Caenorhabditis elegans: one gene and its partners. The protein of the gene in region 1 purifies or fractionates together with the protein of each later gene. This does not show direct contact. Each region holds a gene or a part of one and is shown in the gene's direction. Other genes may lie near its edges. The genes, in order: tfg-1, sec-16A.1 and sec-23.

The links.
Region 2: the proteins of tfg-1 (region 1) and sec-16A.1 purify together in Caenorhabditis elegans (affinity purification with western blotting; one study listed by BioGRID). This does not show direct contact.
Region 3: the proteins of tfg-1 (region 1) and sec-23 fractionate together in Caenorhabditis elegans (co-fractionation; one study listed by BioGRID). This does not show direct contact.

Annotation. Positions count from the first base shown.
Region 1 is NC_003279.8:14,098,294-14,105,836, forward strand, and holds tfg-1 (Protein tfg-1), read left to right. Parts: upstream 1-3,028; 5' UTR 3,029-3,072; intron 3,073-3,753; coding exon 3,754-3,934; intron 3,935-3,986; coding exon 3,987-4,132; intron 4,133-4,782; coding exon 4,783-5,916; 3' UTR 5,917-6,177; downstream 6,178-7,543. Other genes in the region: tdpt-1 (5'-tyrosyl-DNA phosphodiesterase), read right to left, coding at 1-8, 1,199-1,430, 1,564-1,658, 2,331-2,551, 2,601-2,675, 2,739-2,790; dnj-29 (J domain-containing protein), read right to left, coding at 6,501-6,626, 6,767-6,871.
Region 2 is NC_003281.10:9,123,539-9,132,555, forward strand, and holds sec-16A.1 (Protein transport protein sec-16A.1), read left to right. Parts: upstream 1-2,300; coding exon 2,301-2,315; intron 2,316-2,688; coding exon 2,689-2,728; intron 2,729-2,782; coding exon 2,783-2,882; intron 2,883-2,941; coding exon 2,942-3,109; intron 3,110-3,154; coding exon 3,155-3,749; intron 3,750-3,795; coding exon 3,796-3,908; intron 3,909-3,953; coding exon 3,954-4,392; intron 4,393-4,441; coding exon 4,442-4,597; intron 4,598-4,642; coding exon 4,643-4,918; intron 4,919-4,964; coding exon 4,965-5,170; intron 5,171-5,217; coding exon 5,218-6,289; intron 6,290-6,344; coding exon 6,345-6,494; intron 6,495-6,546; coding exon 6,547-6,832; intron 6,833-6,881; coding exon 6,882-6,964; 3' UTR 6,965-7,269; downstream 7,270-9,017. Other genes in the region: Protein ced-11, read left to right, coding at 1-31, 259-565, 615-1,181, 1,230-1,514; ZK512.10 (DUF4752 family protein), read left to right, coding at 7,356-7,370, 7,417-7,507, 7,555-7,667, 7,720-7,770. UniProt on the Caenorhabditis elegans protein: Plays a role in the organization of the endoplasmic reticulum exit sites (ERES), also known as transitional endoplasmic reticulum (tER).
Region 3 is NC_003283.11:20,088,830-20,095,522, forward strand, and holds the start of sec-23 (Protein transport protein SEC23), read left to right. Parts: upstream 1-2,433; 5' UTR 2,434-2,438; coding exon 2,439-2,576; intron 2,577-3,328; coding exon 3,329-3,423; intron 3,424-3,478; coding exon 3,479-3,623; intron 3,624-3,672; coding exon 3,673-3,762; intron 3,763-4,036; coding exon 4,037-4,150; intron 4,151-5,423; exon of another isoform or gene 5,424-5,637; coding exon of another isoform or gene 5,638-5,721; intron 5,722-5,881; coding exon of another isoform or gene 5,882-6,151; exon of another isoform or gene 6,152-6,179; intron 6,180-6,693. Other genes in the region: dcs-1 (m7GpppX diphosphatase), read right to left, coding at 483-677, 1,336-1,481, 1,529-1,709, 1,797-1,913; nlp-69 (Neuropeptide-Like Protein), read right to left, coding at 5,638-5,721, 5,903-6,151.

The DNA of each region.
Region 1 (7,543 bases):
AGGAATACCTGCAAAAAACGAGAAAATTGGTTGAGGCTCAGGCTACAAACTACAAAAATTTGTTAAATTTGCCGAAAAGCGAATGATTTTAATAGAAATGTTCAGTTTTCTTTCAAAAAAATCAATTAAAACGAGGAAATTCTTCAGTTTTTTTTCGGGAAAGTGGTTGTGGCTCAGGTTACAAACTACAAACTCGGCTTAGCCTCACCAAACATTTCCGAAGCGAAATCTGATGAAAATACTCGAAATTTCCCTCATTTTTCTTCAAAAAAAGCTCCAAATTTTCAAAATTCTAGGGATTTCCCTCAAAAATCAGAAGAAAAACTGAAAGAATCAGGGTTTTAACCAGAATTCCGAAAAAAAAATTGGTTGAGGCTCAGGCTACAAACTACAAAATCGGCTTAGCCTCACCAAACATTTCCGGAGCGAAATCTGGTGAAAATACTCGAAATTTCCCACATTTTTTCTCAAAAAAGCTCAAATTTCCATAACATTTCATGTATTTCCGACAAAAATCATTGAAAAATTCAAAAAAATTACAAATAAAATTGATTGAAGCTCAGGCTACAAACTACACATTTGGTTAGCCTCACCAAAGTTTCAACGAATTTTTTTCGAACTCACACTACATACTGTGATTTTCAGCTAGAAATTGCAGAATTCTGATTGAAAAAAATCAATTATATCTCGAAAATCTTACAACAAAAAAGAGATTTTCAGGAAGACATAGGGATTTTCCGTAAAATTTGACCGAAAATTGATTTTAAAACCTGAAAATCTAGATTTTTTCAGTGGAAAATCCCATTTTCTGTAAAAATTTGAAGTTTTTTGCAAGAAAAACAAGAGGGAAAACATTTGAGGGGAAAAATTGGTTGAGGCCTACACTACAAACTACAAATGTGGTTAGCCTCAACCAATATACATTTTGCTCGATTTTAAGGTATTTTTTGCGGAAATTGATTGATTTTTACGGGAATTTTTATATTTTGTTTTGAAAAAATGGATTAAAATGCGAGAATTTTTCAAAAAATCTTTTTTTTCAGTAAAAAACTGAAAAATTCGATTATTGCGATAAAAATTGATTGAGGCTCAGGCTACAAATTACAAATTTGGGTAGCCTCAACCATCATTTTCACTCATTTTTAGCGGTTTTCCGGGATTTTTTCTTAAAATTTCGTCTATTTTCTGAAAAATTAACCTTCAAACCGCCAATAGATCCCTCCAAAATCTGCAAAGTTCTGTACATTCCAGAATTCTGAAAATGAATGACGTCATGCTTCTCGACGTCGAACATTTTCGACACAAGAATCGCCGTATAATATTGGCAGCCTTTGTTCGAATAATAGATTTTATACAGCGATTGAAGCTTATCAATCGGCGCCAAATCACGGTCGACGACTTCTTGGAGGAATAGGATGTCCGGATTGACGCTGAAATTTTTTTTTGGCGTTTCAGGTTGATTTTTGAAGATTTTTGACGGTTTTTAGTGATTTTTTTGCTGATTTTGCATCAAAATCAACTAAAAATTTGAAAATTCCGTGAAAAATCGCCGATTTTGCTCACTTTTTGACAATATGAGCCACTGCTTTCATTCTTGTGAGCAAGCTTCTCCCGTCGAGCCCATCAATGTTCCACGACATTACGCTGACTTCGAATCCCTGAAAAAATTTGAAATTTGTTGGAAAAATCGCGAAAAAAGTGAATTTTTTTTTGGTGAGGCTAAGCCGAGTTTGTAGTTTGTAGTCTTAGCCTCAACCAATTTTTTTTTCGGAATTCAGGTTAAAAGCGTGATTTTTTTCAGTTTTTCTAAAGATTTTCGAAGGAAATTCATGAAATTTTATGGAAATTTGAGCTTTTTTGAAGAAAAATGAGGGAAATTTCGAGTATTATGCTTCGGAAATGTTTGGTGAGGCTATACCGATTTTGTAGTTTGTAGTCTTAGCCTCAACCAATTTTTTTTCGGAATTCCGGTTGAAAGCGTGATTTTTTTTTAGTTTTTCTACTGATTTTTGAAGGAAATCTATGAAAATTTATGGAAATTTTAGTTTTTTTGATAAAAAATGAGGAAAATTTCAAGTATTTTCGCCAGATTTCGCTTTGGAAATTTTTGGTGAGGCTCGGCCGATTTTGTAGTTTGTAGCCTGAGCCTCAACCAATTTTTTTTTTCGGAATTCCGGTTGAAAAAGTGATTTTTTTCAAATTTTCAATGATTTCTGTGAAAAATCACTGAAATTTTACGGAAATTGCAGCATTTTTGAGGTTTTTTAACTCGAAAATCGATGTTTTTAGGTGGTTTGGCTTGATTTTGCTCCAAATATTCTTCTATTAACCTTCAAATCCTCTGCCGTCATCACCGCAGCTCCAGAGCTCGCCATAGACGATGAAGCGCCCATTACGGCCGCACTTCTGGCCTCTGCGAACGCCTCACTCCCGTAAAAAACGTCCAGAGCCTTCTTCAAATCCCAGTCTACATCCTGTAAAATCGACTGCGCAAAAGCCTCATCTGTGGCCGTGATTATTGCAAATTCATGCAGTTTTTGCTCGTCGCTCACTGAAAAATCGCGGATTTTCGCCTTAATTTATTGATTTTTCGGGTTTACTCGACGAATTTTTCAGTTTTCCTTGCTCCGGCTCATCTAGAATCTCGATTTCGACCTCGGAATCTTCTTGGGACACTGAAATATATTTTATTTGATTTAAAATTCAAATATTTTGAATTTCCAGCTGCAAAGCCTTACTTTTCTGTCGTTTAGCCTCAATTTCCTGTATTTCATCGTCAGAATTCGACATTTTTGAGCTGAAATTAGAGGATTTTATCATATTTTTTCAGAAAACGCGAAAAATCCACACGATAACTATTGAAATTCAAAAAATCGCGAAAAGAATAACTGAAAAGGCGGAGTCTAGCCGGGGGGCGTACCCTATTTGCAATCCTGGCACGCGTGTTGCAACTGCGGCGCACTTTTACCGAACGTGGAATTTTATATCGCGGATTTGGATCGTTTTTCTTCCCGTTATTTTCCCATTTTTCCTTGGTTTTCTTGCAGAAAATCCATAAAAATAGCAAGAAAAGTGAGTATTAGAGGTTAAAATCGATATTTTCACCATAAAAAAACCCCAGAAAACCGGCAAAAAACGATGAAAATCCGTGTGGAATTTTTTTAGACCTAGTTTCGCAATTTTTTCAATATTATCTTGAAGATTTTGATCTATTTTCGTGATCTTTACTTATTTTATGTGCCATATCCCGATTTTTATACCGAAAACCCGCGAAAATCTAGAGATTCCGATGGAATTGCTTTATTATATTACACGTGGAACTATTTTATTTCTTGATTTCTGCCGGTTTCTTGCTTTAAAATCTTAGAAAATAGCGTTTCAAGTGGGTTTTAGAGCCGAAAATTTAGATTTTCGATAGGAAAATCGCCTAAAAATCGATGAAACCATATTTTTGGCCTACTCCCGCTCTAATTTTGAAACTTTGATCTCGTTTAGGTCGAATTTCAACTAAAAAGTCGAATTTTCCTGTCAAAACACATGAAAATCCAAAATTTTCGTAAAAATATGAGCTCCGGATAAACTTGGGTGAGGCTGAGCCAATTTCGTAGTTTGTAGCCTGAGCCTCACCAAAATTCGGATTCTGTGTTTAATTCTTGATTTCTAGTTGATTTTCGCCGGTTTTTTTTTGCTTTTTTCTTTCTTTTTCTCCCGCAAAACCCAATTTTCCCTTTAAAAAACCCCCGTTTTTTCCAGATGGTGCATTCAAACGGAGCCATCACGAGCACAATTCTGAAGGCTCGTCACGCCGACGTCGTCCGCAAGACGTCACTTCACCACGCCAACGACTTGACACTCATCGATCTCGTGCTCAATGTGCAGCGGCTTTTGGCTCTCCCATCCGACGCGAATTTCGTGTTGAAGTACAAGGATGAAGGTAGGAATTGCACTGAAAATTGCGATTTTAATTCAATTTTTGTCAATTTTAGAAGGCGATTTGGTGACACTCGCCGAGGATAGCGACCTCCTGCTGGCTCTTCACACGTCTGGAGCCACGCTCGACGTGACCGTCGTTGTCGACTCGAGAGCTCGTGAGGCTGTGCACGATGTGCAGAAGCAAGTCGAGCAGATTAAGGTAAGGAGGATTTTGAGCGAAAAAAAACGATTTTTGAGCTGAAAAGCGCAATTTTGAGCGGGAAAATGCAAAATGTTGCAGAATTTTCATCGAAAATGCTGCATTTTTGAGCTTTTTAGACAAAAAAAAATCCGGAAAAACACTGAAAAATGTTGGTTGAGGCTAAGAAACAAGTGTAGTTTGTAGTGTGAGCCTCAACCAAACTAGCCAAAGCTTGAGTGAGGCTATGGTGATTTTGTAGTTTGTAGCTTTAGCCTCAACCAAATTAGCTAAAGCTTGAGTGAGGCTATGGTGATTTTGTAGTTTGTAGCTTTAGCCTCAACCAAATTAGCTAAAGCTTGAGTGAGGCTATGGTGATTTTGTAGTTTGTAGCTTTAGCCTCAACCAAATTAGCTAAAGCTTGAGTGAGGCTATGCAGCTTTTTTTTGTTTATAGTGTGAGCCTCAACCAATTTTGTTTTTAAAATTCACAAAATCTTTGGTTTTTCACTGAAAAATTGGAGAAATTTCAGCGTTTTCATTGATTTTTAAACAAAATTATCCAAATAATCGGTTTTTTTTTTCAATATTTTTAACACAAAATGGCTAAAAATTGGAATTTCTAGTACTACAGCTAGCGAAAAACGAATTTTAATTCAATTTTTCTTTCAGCTTGATGTTGGAAAGCTTCTTGGCGCTCTCAGTGCTCTCGACGTTGCCCAGATCGCCGAACAATCGAACACATCGGTGGCGAATCTCTCGGCTCCAAAACAATCTCACCACGACAATATTGTGTTCCAAAAGAGCTTCGAAGCGGCTCCACCATCGCCAGTGCCTTCCGAGAAGGCCGAGCTCCCGGCGACGATCCAACCGTCGGTTCACGAGCAATTCAATCATCGCCCGGCGCACGTTGAGGAGGAGATTCCGTTGGAGAATCACTATGCTCCACCACCACATCAGCAAATTCCCGATGATCTGAACACTAGCTTCAGCTCCCAGCCACCGCCACCAATTGAGCAATTCGGAGCGATTCCGCCACCGAACGCGACGATCCCGTCGTTCCCAACGTCGAATGCGGCGAGCCCACCAGTTCAGGAGTTTGCTCCACCGCCTCCACAGCAGCAGCAGCAACAATTCCAGGCTCCACCACCACCGATGGCGTCGCACTCTTCGATCTCGTCGACTCCAGTGCAGCAGCAAGGATTTGCTCCACCGCAGCAGTTTGGCGGGCCACCACCGTCTGGACCACCATCAGAGTATGGAGGATATGCTCCACCACAGCAGCAGCAGCAGCAATTCGGAGCCCCACCACCGCAGGGAGCTCCCCAGCAAGGATTTGGAGCACCGCCACAAGGGCCACCACAGGGAGGACCACCACAAGGATCCTTCGGAGCTCCACCACCCCAGCAATTCCATGCTCCATCACCACAATCGTTCGGAGGGCCACCGCCGCCAGTATCAAGTGCTCCAGGAAACTTTGCCCCTCCACCACAATCGGGACCACCGGGCGCTTTTGCTCCACCACCATCCGCCTTCGGAGCACCACAGGGGCCGGGAGGCCCAGGAGGCTACGGTCCACCACCGCCAGGAGGCCCAGGAGCCCCAGGATCGTACGGACCACCACAAGGAGGCCCAGGAGGATTCGGACCACCACCTCCAGGAGGCCCAGGAGCCTACGGACCACCGCCAACCGGATTCCCACCAGTCGGAGCACCGCCACCGGGAGCCGCCGGAGCCCCGGGAGGAAATCCATTCGCACGAGGACCATCTGCCACGGGATACCGCCAGTCGCCGTATCAGCAGTAATTAATCGATAATTTATTGATGTTTTCTTCTTTGTTTGTTTGATTCCCATAATTTAAATATTTTATGTTTTCCCCCGTCCTTCCCCCCTAGTGTACAAGTTTCCTTTTCTACTCGCTCGCCCCTGTTTCCTTGTGATATAGCGCTGGAGCGCCTTTTCTCTTTTCCACGTGGAATTCACATCAATTCTTGTCGTCTTCTCTCTCTCTTTCTCCTTTTTTTAGTGGTATATAATATTTATGATATGAATTTAAAAAATCTCGGGCTCCTGTCTCTGAAATTCTTTTTAATTGAAGCATAGAAAAAAGGGTCTAAATTTCATGTAACTATGTAGAGGAAACATTTTCAAAAGTGATGTGATTGGTGGGAAGGGAATAGAAATAATAATGCATAGGGAACACGAAAACATACAAATTTTTTTAAATAAAATATTTAATTTAATTACTTTTAGAAGAACAGAAAACCCAGTAGAGAAATTGATTGAAATTTTTTTGGAGAAAAGTGCGGGAGAACAATGGGGGGCCACTGAAGAAAAATTGAAAAATAAATTAACGAATAATTTGGAGAGCAATTGTTGGAGCATTTCGCTACTCTTCATCCGAGTCATCGTCTTCTGTATAATCATCGTCCGACGACACTTCGACGGCTTCATCGTCCTCATCCACGTAGTCGTCGTGCTTGATTTCGACGAATTTCGCCTCTTTCACGTCGATCTGCAATAATTTTGAATTTATTGTTGAGAAATTTGCTGCTTTTTGTGTCGAAAATGGATTTTTTGAGGAGAAATTCGCCTGAAAATATAATTTTTTACAATTTTTCGCATTAAAATCCGTCATTTTCAATCAAAAATCACCTTAAAATCAACACTATACTCCGCATCCATATAGGAATCCGATTTGACCGACAAATTGTACGTGTAGATTCCTTTGTGTGGTGGAGCCGCGAATCGAATGTCAATCTGAAAGAAATCAATAGGAATTTAGTGGGAAATGGAGTTTTTAGTGCAAAAATATGCCATTTTTTGGGGCGAAAACTTCAAATTTTGGCATAGTTTTGCCAAAAAAATCGTCAAAAACGTAGGAAAAAATTGTGGTTGAGGCAGATTCTGTAGTTTGTAGCCTGAGCCTTACCTAACGAAAAATACAATTTTTTTCTTTTTTATCTGTAATTAAGGAAGGAAACAACAAATTGTTTAGAAAAATTGATCGTTTTTAGCATTTTTTTTCTAAAAAAAATCCATAAAAATTTCAGAAAATCCCGATTTTTAACCGAAAAAGCATTAGAAATATTGGTTGAGGCTCAGACTACAAACTACAACTCCCATTAGCCTCACCCAAATTGGTTGAGGCTAAACCGATTTTGTAGTTTGTAGTGTAAGCCTCACCGAGATTTAGTGGGTTTTAAATCGATTTTTCAACTAGAAAATGCTGATTTTAGGATAAAATCCTTCAAATTTATAGGTTTTCAACGCTAAAATTCGAATTTTCCTTCAAATTTCCAAGAAAAATACTCAAAAATCGACATTTTCCGTGTCAAAGTCCTTCAGAAAATCCCGATTTTCAACCGAAAAAGCATTAGAAATATTGGTTGAGGCTCAGACTACAAACTACAACTCCCATTAGCCTCACCC
Region 2 (9,017 bases), on another chromosome or scaffold:
TCCAATTGTACTCGTTGGCGGAAGATTTTAGGTAAGAGAATGGAAATTAGTTTTTACAAAACATTCCAGTAAGGGAAAATGTATAATCTTACTCCTATGGTGATAAAATTACTGAATAAAATTACTGAAAACATTTAAACTTTTCAAAAAAGTTGATATGTATATGGTCAAAAAATATTTATCAAAAAGCAACATTTTAGAACTGACAAAAAGACAAAATACTGACGGTACTCCATCTTTGAGGTCATCAATTTTCAGACTGCGCCCACCACTTCCTCCACCACTTACCATTTTCTGTCTCATTTGCTCGGCTTGTTGTCGCTTCTCCAACTCATTCTCCGGTTTCTTCTCAGACTTTGATCATCCTGATTTCGAAGCGAGAGACAAGTGCAGAACCACGTGGAAATTTGGATCAATCTACCGTAACCCATCTGTTCCATTCAAGAGAAACGAGTTTGTGAACTCATTCTGGAGAAAGCTTTCGATGGAACAATGGAAAAATACACAGCAGAAAGCGAAGATATCAGCAAACAAATCAGAACTTCAGGAACTTCATAATATTCATGTAAGATTTATTTTTTTAAACACAAGTTTAAAACTGAAAATAATTTCAGAACCACATTCGAATGATGACTTTGCGAGATTCATATGAAAATTCGGGTACACGAAAAGCTTCAGAACTTCAATTTTTCGAGAAATACCCAGAAAGTAACATTCTGAAGATTAGTGTGAACATGGTGTCTAAGCCATGGACAGTGCTTGTACCTAGATACAATCCCCCCTTCTATTGTAAGCCTGCGGAAGATTTTCCATCAGATGTGCAAAAGTATGTTGATATTGCCACGGAGCAAAATGTTGGAGAACTAAAACGAATTTGGAGAAGCCGTCAGGCAAATGATGTTACTAGTAGTAATGATAAATGTTGGAAGCTCTCAGCTGCCGGCTTCCCATTGAATCCGAATGGTCGAACTGGAATGGCTGGAAGAGGAAATCATCCGAGATTTGGTGCTAATCGACGTTGTTATTATGTCGTTTTGAGTGGTGGAGTTGAAGCGAAATGTCAAGTTCTAGTTGATAGTCAGAAGAATATTCCAAATGAATGGCATCTGGAGAACTCGTCGAAAGATGAACATCTGACATCTATTTTGAAGATGATTGGAATTTCAGATTCTGACGCTCATGTAAGTAACCAAAAAGATTACTTTTAAAAATTTGTGATGTATTTTCAGATGTTTTCAATGCGACGTTTGGATAGCTCAATTATCACTGCGGACAAAAGAATACCATCCAATGACACGAGTCCTGCTCATTTGGCTTCAGAAGTTGCAGAAAATGAAAACGATACAGACAACGCGTGGACGGAGCATGATGTTTGGGCTATTTCTCTCCGAGAACGACGTATAATAACCACAATTATCGGTTATTCGTGGCTTCCTACGAGTGCAATTCGTGGAACAGTGCTTCCATGGCAAGCAGATCTTGTTTTCCGAGCAAAGACAATATACGGGTTATAATGCTACAACTTTCATAAATTATGAATTCACTTAAATTGTTATTCGATGTTTGTTTTTTAAAGCTGATAGCTAAGAGATAATTTAATAAAGCTTGGAAGAATAAAAATAAAGCACTCACCAAAACACATATAATGAGAGGCCTAACAAAAAATGTAGGGGTACTGTAGCAGTTTTGAAACAAATTTTTCTAAATATTGTAGAGCGATTGTTGGTTAGGTTTGCGGAGTGTTGTGCAGTAAAACTGTAAGAACTGTCGCGAATGCGGAGAACCAAGAATACTTCTCCTTGTCGCCACTTTATTACTTAATATTATTTCCTTTAATTTAACACAATTATTATGTATATTCATTAATTAATTATCGTCATCTTCCTTGTTTTTCCCGTTATTTTTGGTCCGTTTAGGTGTGACACGGAGATAAAAGATACCTTAGCAAAATAAGTTCTTTTCGTGAAAAAACAAATCTTCGTATTTATTAAACAACTTTGTTTCTGTTAACAAATAAATAAATCCTTGCTTTCGATTTTACGATTTTGTGGCTACGGTACACAATGTTCACTCCGCAAGCACCGAAACTGACGACAGTTTTTCTATCAGTTATTTTTTTCATTCAACCTCGAACTTTTTTCGCGTTTATTCATTTCTCGCGTGAACTTTTTGTCTTATTTTATTTTTAAGCTTGGCTTCACGTGGCACCGCGCTTTTAACACATCCGTGCGGCGTTTTGAATTGAACTTTAAATTGGAAATTCCCAAAAACCCACGATTTTTATGGATTTCGAATGGAAAATGCGGCGATACAGGGTAAGATTTCCCAAAATTGTAATTTTAAATCTTAAGGCCATTAAGAAAACAAGTAAAAACCGAATTTATTTTACCATTTGGAAGAATAAAAAACAAAATTCATATCATTTTCCCATTCACTTTCACCTGTTCGTATCACTTCCAACAAAGGAAAACTGAACTATTCTTGTTTTCAATTTTCCCATTTTCCCATATTCCCCACAGCAGCCCTTTCCGTGCATTTTTGCGTCGCCGTGTTGGCACTAAAGTGACACGGTTGACCTCAATTTGCCCCTTCTTTTCTTTTCTTCCCTTGTCTTCTGCCTCTCTATATTTACCCAACAGACTTTAACATCTCGACACTTAACTTGTATATTCGCCTAATTTATTACAGATCGATTCTATGAAGTATGAACAACGAATGAATGCCGGAGGTATGATAAAATTCGATTTATCAACAATTTTTATCAATCACTATTCATTTTCAGCTTCTGGTTTCGATATGAGTGACTGGAATAATCCTTACAATGCTTCACCTCCGTCTTCTAGAGGAGGCGATGATGACGCTTCATCCGTTAACCATTCAAGGTCAGTGAATACAAGAATTTCACACGCCGATCGATATCTTTTCATCGCTTTTTTTTCAGGCCTCGACGCAGTCGGCTGGACAACGATATTCCACAACCAAGAAGACCCATTCTTATTCAACCAGCTCGCCCAGTATCTCAAAAGAGTAACCGGCAGGGTACTGGAATGAGTAATGGTTCAAGAGGCCTCAACTCAACTTTCAATGGATATGACCGTACTTATTCAAGGTTTAAAACAAGGGAGTTTCTTCTTCTAATTATGGAAATTTGCAGATATCACCAAAACTCTTCACGTGGCCCAAGCGAAGGTTTCTCTGGTGCTCCTTCAGCTCGAAATGCATCTGGATATGCGAGTGATTACGCGAATAGTCGTGCTGGTGTGGGATTGCTGCCGAACAACCACCGTGAGCCTGTGAGACCACGATCAACTGCTGCTGAAAGATATGCGAACGCATCTTCAATGAGAAATGGTTTTGTATATGATAGTGGAGAGTCTGATAAGACTTCAGAAGAGCTGGAAGAAGACGAAGAAGAGGAAGAAGTACGAAATTTTTATATGGAAGGACGAGCACAAGGCTCCAGGAGTGTAACAAATACCCTTGCCTCTGAAGTTTATAATAGCGAAAGTGAAAGCTATTACTACGGAGTTGTGAAACTTGGCTCTGCTATTGTTGATCATGTGTTCCGAACGATGCCTCCTCCGGAAAAATACTATAAGATGCCGCCAATCGACCGTGTCGCTTATGTATTCTACTGTGCCGTTAATAACAAACCTTACAACAATATTGATGAGTTTCACGTAATTTTTAATCGTGAATTCTACTCCTACCGCGGGTATGGTGATTCTAAAGATCTGGCACTTTTTAAGGTAAGATTACTGACAAAATTGAATTGCTTCATATTTTAAATTACAGGTTTGCAAGCGGATGCAAGAAGAATTCTCCCTGAAGCAACTGGAAGCCGACAGATTGGCGTACGAAAAAGCACGACAAGAAGCTGCAGAGAGCGAGAAACTGGATTTCAATCAGTGAGTATGGAACCAACGGTACAATGAGCAAAAATATTATTATAGGCATAAAATCGAGGAACGCGAAGAGCCAAAACTTAACATCTCGCAACCCGAAGAAGTGTTGAGCAACGGACCACTTCATTATCACTCCTGCCTTCAGTTTGCTACCATTGGTGTTGGAGGAAAATTGGTGATCATTAAACCAGCGGGAACCATCGATAGTATCACTGGACATGTTCTAAGTACATCCAGCGTTCATGTGGATGATCTGAAAACATTTCTTCATTTCGATGAACAATCTGGAAAAGTGATCGAATCAGTTCAGAACTTTAAAGGACCACTGATTGCTGGACAAACTCCAACTCATTCCGTTCGTCTCTACATCCAACGACAAATCGACGCTCTTCGCCAGATCAGAAATGCTGGTGACGTAAAGAAAAGTGAGGTGGTGGATGCTCTTCTCGTCTGGCAATTGCTCGAAATCATGGTTCAGCAACATGGAGTAAGAATTGTTTTAATTTGAGAACTTAGTAGGAATTTAACATTTTAAGAGAGTCACCGGACCCGATGTAGCAACACTGCTGACAAATGCCTCGGAAGAACTTGGTGAAAAAACTGGAATTTCAAGCAATGGGACATCCGAGTCTGGTTCGAAGTTCGAAGCAAAGGAGCGGTTCAATAAGTATCTTCTTGGTGGTCACATTAATGTAATTTTGTCTAATCTTGTTAATTAAATAATTATAATTTTTCAGGAAGCTGTTGAAAGTGCTATAACCGATGGACTCTATGCCGACGCAATGACATTGATCCGTAGACTGCATCCAAATGACGCTAAGAAAATTGAGGAAATCGAGGCACGATTTATGAATCTTCGTTCCATTGACGATCCATTCGCAACACTGGTTGCAGTTTCAAGTGATCAACCACCTCCGATTCTGACGAATTCGGCGTTCGATGATGACAACAATTGGAAACGACATGCGGCCATTGTTCTTGCGAATCTAAACTCGCAGACCGCTATGCAAACGGTACGGCAGGAGAAAAGCAAAACTAAAACTGTAAAATTTTTTTCAGATCTATCATCTCGGCTTGCTCCTAGCAAAAAGAGAACGAAACTGTGCTGCTGATTTCTGTCTCCTTGTTGTATGCATTCTGGCTGGTTATGATCCATTTATTCCAGTGGCTCACGACGGAGATGAAACTTCGAGAAAGCACATCGGCCTTGTGCATAGTGGATCTAACTTGTTGAATCGAGTTGATGGACTATCAGGAACCGCTGGGTAAGATTACTTAACACAATATGCATAACATAAAACATGCTTTTCAGATTCTCATTCACTGATCTTCATGCTACTGATATTTTTGATTATGCTCTCCGACTGGGAAATAACAATGTCGATTCACCACTAGCAAAATCGATTGATTATCAGTTAGCTCGTATTGAATACGCAAAGAAGCTGTCGTCTTTTGGTGGATTTGCTACGGATGCGTTCAGATATTGTACAGAAGTAGCAAGATCGTTGTGGATGTATGTCGCAGCTTTCGATAAAAATGCAATGTTTGATCTTTGCGATCTGGCTGAGAGTCTTCAATACATGGCTGCCGCAACTCCTGATGAAAGTGGTTGGATTACAACTATGAGAGGAATGCTAGGTGCAGCTCCAGTTCAAGAATCTCAACAACATGTTCCACAGCCACAACCAGTGGAAAACAAATCTATTTCGTCTGAAGCTAAAAAATGGCATGATGAGCATCAAGCGCCGCTGGAGATTGGATCACGTAACGATCAACAACATAACGATAAAACTGTCGAGAAACCAATTGCACCCGGACGTGCTTCTTTGCCTCCACCTACCCTGGTTACTGAATCGTCATCTGAATCGACATTTACAGATAAATCCGATTCTTCGGTTACTGTCGCTGCGTCAGCATCAAGAACTTCAACGTTGACCTCATCCACTTTACCACCACCACCATCCCTTCCAAAAACTATCGAAAAACCAATCTCAACACCACCACCAATTTCTAAAAATGTTGTTCCTGAGATGACGCCTCCAGCGATTGTGAAGCCACCGATGCCAACGTTATCGATGCCTATTCCACCTGTCAGTACTCCAATCATGGTATCACCTCAACCTATTCCTATTCCGAAACCTGTTGACGCCAGCATTGCAAAAAGTCCTCGTTCGGAACTGGATGATTTATGGGACACTTCACCGCCAAGCAATCAAACTTCATATCCACCTGCACCGCGAAATATTCAACCATCTTATTCGCCTGCACCTAACTTTGCAAACCCAACAGCTCCAAGTGTACCAACACCACCACCAGCCGTTTCTTCTGCTCCGGTTCTTCAACAAGCAACACTAGGACAAGCATCTATTCCAAATGCTAAAACTGTGAGTTTTCTGTGAAACCTTCAGAATGACAAGTAATTATTTTTAATTATTAAAGACTGCGCCGCCTGTCCCACAGAAACAACCTGAACTTGCATTGAATGAACGAAAAGCATCTAAAGGATGGTTCGGATCGATTAAGGAAAAAGTCATCAAATCGATTCCATCAGCAAACCAAATGATCCTGCCTGACGATTCAAAGCCAAGTGTATGTTAATTTGAAAGCCGATTTTTTGAATATCAAATATTCATTTGTTCAGATCGTTTGGGATCCTGTTCAGAAAAGATATGTTGGTGCTGGAGTAGAAGAAGAGGTCGTAGCTGCTCCACCGCCAGTCATGTCAGCTCCTCATTTGATGGGTGGAGGTCCTGATTCTAACAAATCGAGCACGAATAGTCTGCGAAGTGCTAGAAGTGGAGTTGGATCACGATATCTTCAATCGGGAATGGCCACTAGCCAAGCACCAGCTATGGACACTGGAATGCCACCGATGATGCCTCCAACCATGCCAATGTCATTCAGCTTTATGCCTGCACCCACTGAAGGTATAATTAATTGAGAATTAGTTTTTTCTTCAATTAATTTCATTTTCAGATGATTCCTCCGAATATGTTGATCCATTCAGCGGTGAACCAACGGCTCCTTCCGAATCATTATCCAAACAGAATAACGATTAATATGCTTCAATTCTTCCAAATTATATGTGTTGTCGTCCCCATCGCCTTTTGTATCCCCCTCCCACCCACTATCATTCTTTCAAATAACCATTTCCTGTTATCTGGTCAGGCCCGTTTCCTCTAAAAACTTCTGTGATTATTCCATAGTATCTTCCTTCTTTTTTGTTGTGCAACTATATATGTTACGGTTTTATCTGAAAAATAAGTAGGCTAGTTTTTCTTTGTTCTGACGAGAAAATATGTGCTCTGAATTGATTCTCTGGTAAATAAATATATACTGAAATGAATAAATATAATGTACCGTGAAATCACTATTTGAATTTTACATTTGAAATCGAATTAAAAACAAAACAAAAAACTAATCGAATACCATTATTTCGCAAATTCGAAAATGTATCAACTGGACGTGAGTTTTCTCTTAATATTTCTGATTGATGTTCGAATATTTAAAGTCTTGGTACTCAGTGCTCTTCGAGCTTCTTCTCGTCGGTTTTTCTCTCTACAACTCGCTCAGAATGACTACTTGGTGGGATACCGTAGCCAGTAGGTCACAATTATTTTCAGGCAGTTTCCAGAAAAAAGATTTTCAGAAGGAGCATCTATCGCAGTGAATGGAGCAGCGAAACATTCACCTTCGGTCGCTGATCACTACGGTATTCGTACTGATAAAAATAGTGTTAGAAGCTATAGAAAGAGTAGCGTCGTGAGTTTTATTGAGACTAATTGAATAAATGTGTATATTTCCAAAATTTCAGAGATCACCAATTACGTTCGAAATGGGAGATGGGATTGAAGTAGCTCACTGATGGATCGTAATTTATTGGAAAAATGACGTTCAGAATAAATTTGATATTGATTAATTTTTGTCCACATTCTAGTAGGCCAGGCAGGCGAGGCGTGCGAGGACGCCTCAGGCAAGCACAAAGAAGAAGAATAAACAGGCATGTAAACAGTAGGCATGCAGAAGGCGTGTAGGCATGAACATAGGTGTGAAACTTTCCTTTAACATATTGTTGTGTTCAAAACTTTGTATCGCTTATCAATTTTTACAAAGGATTCTGTGATGTTAATGTGAAATGATAAATTTAACAATCAAATTGTTTTTCTCCTGAACCCCCTGGAATGCCTATAACCAAGTAAACTAAAAGGTGTTTTAGCCCCCTTCACTTCTCTTTCCCTTCCATTACCTCTTGTTTCTGCCTTTTAATCCAACTTTCCACAAGTTGCTCCCCTTTTTTCCTTTTTTTCCATAGCCACTTTGCTGTCATTGAAGGCACCTTTTTTGTGTCACACTCCGCCCATTTAGGGTGAAAAGTTCGGAGAGTGTTTTCCTTTTTTTAGTTTTCAGCATTGTAGGTTTCATTTAATCTTTGATATCATCAGAGCGTCTAGTTGTTATCCTTATAAACTTTATGAATTGTTTTGTCTTATTCATAATCCGTCTGAATTTTTGTTGATTTAGATTTTGCTCCGATGCGAATACTGTACGGTATCCGGTTTCGACACATCAAATTTTTATTAAATGCAAACGGTGTGCACCTTTGAAGTGTACTGTAATTTTCAATCAACCATGTCTGTGGAATTTTCTATGATTTTTCACTACTTGGAAAGTGAGATATAATTTTTCTCGAAAAAAGACTTCCAGCTTGAGAAACTCAAATTTGTTTCAGATTGTAAATCTCCAAAAATTGAAGAAATTTCTGAAAAAATGCAGTCAAACCTTTGCAAAAACAATTTCCTATTGTCATTTTCCCGATCATATTTCCTTGTTCATCAATTTCACTCTTTGCTTCTTCCGTTTCGACTTGAATTTCCTTCAATGTCATTGGATCTTCTCCACGAAGAAATCAAAACCATAGTTTTTATTCCCTTTTTCATTTATTTTCTCTAAAAACTAAAATCATAAAAACAGCAAATGAAAAAAGGAAAACACTGGTTGATGATGATGATGATATGAGGGATATCTAGTAAAAGAGGATGCGCTAATCCGATCGTTGTGCTTAAATCTGAGCAAAGTGGAGGAAAGAAGAGAGATAGAAAAAGAGCCATCAAC
Region 3 (6,693 bases), on another chromosome or scaffold:
GACTACAAACTACAATATTTAGGTGCTGCTAATTCAATTTTGAACGCTGCTAAAACTACAAACTACAAGATTTAGGCGCTGTTAATTCAATTTTGGGCGCTGCTAAACTACAAACTACAAGTTTTGGGCGCTGCTAATTCAATTTTGGGCGCTGCTAAGACTACAAACTACAAGTTGTCGATTTTTGAGTGGAAAAATGTAATTTTCAGATAAATATCGGTACTATTGTGCGAAACTTGACATTTTTCTTTGCTTTTGTGCCTAAAATTGCAGATTTTCAGAGATATTTTGCATTTTTGGTGATTTTTGACGGAAATTTCGGTAAAATCTTGATTTTGCCATTTCCGGACAATTTTAGAGAGATTTCACGTTTTTTAACTACAATTTGCGATTTATTGGGCGAAAAATCGTCATTTTAGAGTGATTTTGCTTTTTTTTTCAGCGAAAATTGCAATTTTCCGGTAGAAAATCCGATTTTCTACCTCCAAATCATCTCCAGTCAAATCCCGGACAGATTTCAGGCCGTGGCGGTGACAAATAGCGAGAACATAGAGATTTTCCAAGGTTTTTCCGTCCCATTTGATATCCTGAAGAAGTACGAAGCCATTTTCATTGTCGGGGTCTTCGAACACGATTTTATCGACTTCCGAGCGCTTTTCCAGGCAATTGTACACCCACTGAAACGAAAAATTGATTTTTGAAAAAGAAATTTCGAGCGGAAAATCGCATTTTCTCATTTAAAATTGTGCGATTTTCAGTATTTCTACTAATTTCCGAATTTTTATTCACTTTGAACGCTAAAAACTCTGAAAAACAGAGAAAATCTACGAATTTTTAATGGTTTTTGTCAATTTTTTGCAGAATATTCTCATTTTCTGTCTTGTTTTTCACTTAAAACCAAAAGAAAAATCAAAAAATTCGAAAAAATCGAAGAAAAACGAGTGAAAATCGATAATCGTGATTTTGGGCGCTGCTTAGACTACAAACTACACGTTTTGGGCGCTGCTAATTCAATTTTGGGCGCTGCTTAGACTACAAACTACACGTTTTGGGCGCTGCTAACACTACAAACTACACGTTTTAGGCGCTGCTAATTCAATTTTGGGCGCTGCTAAGACTACAAACTACAAGATTTGGGCGCTGCTAATTCAATTTTGGGCGCTGCTAAGACTACAAACTACAAGATTTGGGCGCTGCTAATTCAATTTTGGGCGCTGCTAAGACTACAAACTACAAGTTTTGGGCGCTGCTAAACTACAAACTACACGTTTTGGGCGCTGCTAAACTCATTTTCTTGGTATTTTCTCCGATTTTCTTCATTTTTTCGCTGCTTACATTGAGATTCAGCTGATATTTCTCAATATACGGCCTTGTAACAGTCTCATAAAGCTCTGGAGTCTCTCGAATCACGAATTTCTCCTCCTGACGGTATTTTGCAATGAGACGATCGTTTATCGGGTAGATTAGTTGAGATTTTAGCACTGAAAATTGAATTAAAAATTAATTTAAGCAAGATTGTGTGGATTACAATTCAATTTGGGATCGATTTCTATATTATAGGACCCGAAAATGTCATTTCTGGAGATTTCTTGAAGCTGTGCAGTCGCCAGAAGCTTCTCGATATCGGATTTTTCTTCGGAAAACGGAGACTTGTTGGCAAGCAGAATGCCTTGAGATCCATCGGGATGGGAGAGCAAAACGAAGAGAGACTGGAAGAAAATATTGATTTTTATGATTTTTAGGTGAAATTTATTGTTTCTTAATGCAAAAAATTCACTTTTTATTGATTTTCTCACCTTATGCGACGAATCAGCGCCTAAAATCTCTTGAAACTTGGCATCCTGCAGCCATTTCTGTGTACTCTCCTCTGCACGCTCCTCTCGCACAAGTTCCTCGTCGGCGATCCGTTTCATACTGAAAAATCGAGATTTTCACTTATTATTCACCAAAAAGATACAGAAATTGCAACGAAAAACGGTAGAAATCGAGAAAACCAACTCAAAAAACATTTTCAAAAGTGTCACGCATCGTAAAACAACACACTGGCCGCGGCCTAGAAAACTCCAATTCTTTTCTCGGCCATCTTCCTCCACGTGTACATTTTCTGTTGGAATTTTGCAGATTTTCACTCGTTTTTCACCATTTTTTCTGATTTTTCTTGCTAAAATATTGAAAATAAGTCGATTTTTATTGATTTTAGTGTAAAAATCATAGTTTTCACCTTGCATATGTCGAAAAAATGACGAAAATTGATTGGGCAACCATAAAAACCCAAAAAACTCGATTTTTCGCTATTAAACGTGATTTTCAGTGTTTTATATTAATAAAATTAAAATTTAATGGTGAAAAACCAGAATTTCACACGTAATCCACGTATTCTCCTCGTTTTTCATCATTTTCCGCGATAAAAAGTTCATTACCAGTTTATTCCAGTAAAAATGGCCACTTGGGAAGAATATTTGGGTGCTCAACAGGCGAACGATGGCGTCCAATTCACGTGGAACATGTGGCCACACAGTCGAGTGGATTCTCAGAAGCTTGTCGTCCCGCTCACCTGCTTTTTCACGCCGCTGAAGGTAAAACTGAGGCGCGGAAACTGGATTTTCTTCGAATTTTTCGTGGAATTATTGAATTTTAAGCATTGAAAATTGGATTTTGTAGCTGCCGAGCAGCGCCAAAAGCTGAGGAAAAGCCTATTTTCAGCAATTTTTCTTCAAATCCATCGAAATTCCATCAATTTTCTCCGAATCTTTGCAAATTTTAGTGGATTGCTTCATTTTTTGCCAGAAATTCGTTATAATCTTCTAAAAATTCAAATTTGGTAGCTGCTCGAGCCGATCGGCAGCTTCGAAACACCGAAGGCATGAATTTCAGCAATTTTTCGATTAAAAACGCGATTTTTTTCTCAATTTCCATCGGAATTTCTGCATTTTTACCTTAAAAAGTCGGTAATCTCTGCAAAAATCGTAAAATTCCGCTGAGAAACGCAAAAAAAAAATTCAATTTTGGGCGCTGCTTAGACTACAAACTACAAGTTTTGGGCGCTGCTAATCCAATTTTGAACGCTGCTAAAACTACAAACTACAAGTTTTGGGCGCTGCTAATTCAATTTTGGGCGCTGCTAAACTACAAACTACACGTTTTGGGCGCTGCTAATCCAATTTTGGGCGCTGCTGAAACTACAAACTACAAGCTTTAGGCGCTGCTAAACTACAAACTACAAGCTTTAGGCGCTGCTAATCCAATTTTGCGGAGTTCAAGCCGATTTTAAGCTGAAATTTCACGATTTCTCATCAAATTTCTCTCAAAAACCAAATTTTTTTTCCAGGAGCGCCCATCAACAGAAGTCGCCCAACCACCACTGGAATATGATCCGGTTTTGTGCCAAAAAGCCAGCTGTAAAGCGATTTTAAACCCACTTTGGTGAGTTTCAGGCCTTTTTTTGCCCGATTTTCACCCCGAAAAATGATGCTTTCAGCGCCGTCGATTATCGCGCCAAAATCTGGATGTGCCCATTCTGCAACAATCGGAATCCGTTCCCGGCTCATTATGCGGCAATTGCCGAGGATAACCGCCCGCCGGAGCTCTATCCACAATTTACAACCATTGAGTACACGCTTCGAGTGAGAAAATGCTGAAAAATCCGAGTTTTAAGCCAAATCTTTATTCCAGAAAGCCACCACAATGCCGCCGATCTTCGTTTTCGTCGTCGACACGTGTATGACTGCAGAGGAGCTGAAATCGCTGAAAGAATGCCTTCAAGTACGGGACAAATTGCAGAAAATTGAGAAAAAAACGGCGGTTTTTTAAAATTTTCGCGGAAAATTGCTCGAAAATTCGTCGGTTTTCCAACTCAAAATTTGTGATTTTTTCACTCAAAAATGGGAATTTCTGCTGAAAAATGGGAATTTCTGCTCATTTTCGCTTGAAAATTCGACTTTTTTAAACATAATAGTGTTATTTTTCATGAAAATTGGCAATTTTTGCCGTAAAATTCAGATTTTTGGGCAAAATTTCCCAATTTTTCCAATTTCAGACTGCTCTCTCGCTGCTCCCAGCCGATGCTCTCGTCGGATTGATCACCTACGGTAGAATGGTCCAGCTGCATGAGCTCAACACTCAGGGAATCTCGAGAAGCTACGTTTTCAAGGTAATAAATTGCAGGGAAAATTGGATTTTTTGGGTTAGAAGCCTGAAAAATGCCGAAAAATGCCAAAAAAAAAACACTAAGTAAATGCAAAATGAATAGCGAAAAATTAGAGAATTATTGAAAATTCTCGGATTTCAGTGAACAATTCGAACAAAACAAGACTATACACTTTTTAATTCAATTTTCCATCCAAAATCTTATAATTCTATTCATTGGTTACTAGTATAGTAATTCAATTAAATAATGCGCTCAATATGCTCAATTGACCAGTTTTCTCGAAAAAGTAGGATTCTTCATTAAAAATAGATGTTAAATTAAATGTTATACTATATATATAGTTGTTCTGAAACGTTAAAGCTCTAAAATGCGGAATAGTTAAAGGTGGTGTCGTCGATTTTTTTCAAATTGCTTTATTTAGACTCAAAATTGTCTGAAAACACCGAATTTCATAATAAAACTTCTTGAAAACTTTTCAAAAAAAGGTTATGACGGCTCAAAAAATGGCCTAAAATTAGTTAAAATCGGAAATTTGACTAACTTATCAATGTCGCAGCGGCTGGAAATTTTTTTTTTTGAAATCATCGTTAAATTTTGAGTTTACAAGTTGATTATCTTGCGTTTTAAACTTGATTAAGCTATTTAAAAATCGATGGACGGCGAGTTTATCGATAAAAAAAATTAAAAATCTCGCCGTACATCGATTTTTAAATACCTTAATCAAGTTTAAAACGCAAGATAATCAACTTGTAAACTCAAAATTTGACGGTGATTTCAAAAAAAAAGTGTTTCCAGCCGCTTGACAAGTCGGTCAAATTTCAAATTTTAACTAATTTTAGGCCATTTTTTGAGCCGCCATAACTTTTTTTTGTCAAGTTTTCAAGAAGTTTCATTATGAAATTCGGTGTTTTCAGACAATTTTGAGTCTAATAAGGCAATAAAAAAAATTCGACTACACCACCTTTACCTATTCCGCAGAGCTGTAACGTTTCAGAACAACTATATATATAGTATAACATTCAATTTAACATTTATTTTTTATGAAGAATCCTACTTTTTCGAGAAAACTGGGTCAATTGAGCATAAGTAGCGCATTATTTAATTGAATTACCATACTACTAACCAATGAATAGAATTATAAGATTTTGGATGGAAAATTGAATTAAAAAGTGTATAGCCTTGTTTTGTTCGAATTTTTCACTGAAATCTGTGAATTTTCAATAATTTTCGACTACACCACCTTTAAGTTAATAGGTTAATTAACGACTATACACCGACTATACACTTTTTTATTCAAACTTCATAAGACATATTGAACATGTTATTATTATTATTATTATTATTATTATTATTATTATTCAGTTGTATTATATCATTAATATTATTTAATTAGATGAATAATAATAATACAATTAACAATACAAATAATAATCATCATCATCAGTAGTAGTAGTAGTATTAGTGTGTTTGTAGCCAAAGAAGATGTCATTTTATTTTCCCATAACAATATTTCCGCCTATCCGATGCAATCGTTTGTCTGGCAGCGGGAAAATGGTCAGCGGAAGTGAGGAAATCTGGAAGATACGGAGCCCATATATATCAACTTGGAACGTTTTTATTCGGAAAACAGCGGAAAATCGGCGAAAAAACATGCAAAATATGGGTATTTGGAGGGTGGTGATGGGAAATAAATTGCACACGAAAAATGGGCAGCAAAAAATAGTGAAAAAGCAATCAATAATCGTCGAAACTCACGCGTTGATGATGTGGCGGGGAAATTTGATAATAATATGAGTTGTCGGGAGCCGCCGACAAACGTCGTTGATACATCTCGAAGTCCAGAATATCGGCCAACCGACGCATCGAAGCTTTTGCCTTTGCGTTGAGCTCAGAATAGGCGTTAGTGTCGAAGGCGGCGGTCGGAGAGTTGTTGACCAAGGTTGATGAGCAAGTGGAGATCAGAATCAGTAGGATTGATAGGAGGAGGATTGGGAAGAAGTGCATTTTGGCTCGAAATTTGGAGCTTTACGCTGAAAATAAGGGGGTTTCGTGGAGACGAAAAGACGACGAAAAAGTTTGGTTAGAAATGAGAGAATTTAGGGTTTTTCCTACTGTAAATGGGAGAATTTGAGTAATTTAGTGGGAAAATTGTGGAAAATATGGGGTTTTTTGGTTGCTTTTATTGGTGAAAAACTAGAGGATGATTCACGTGGTGTTACACAAAAAATGGCGGGAAAAATATTTTTGAATATTTGTGACATTCACAGCGCATTTGGAGAATAATTTTTTTCAAATTTAAGCGTCGATTTTTGGCAAATTTTCAAAATTACACAAAAATCGATCGACGCTTAAGTGTGTTTTCCCGCCGCTATTTTTGTGTGCAGTGGAGCTGCTATTGGACAACCTGACACCACGTGAGGATTCAGGTTTTTGAGGCTGGACAAGCTTTTTAGAGAAAAAAAAGTGTTTTTATAGGGAATTTTAGTGCTAAAAGTTTGAGCTTTTCGGGCTCAAAACTAGGCTTTACGGCCCAAATGGGAGGACTT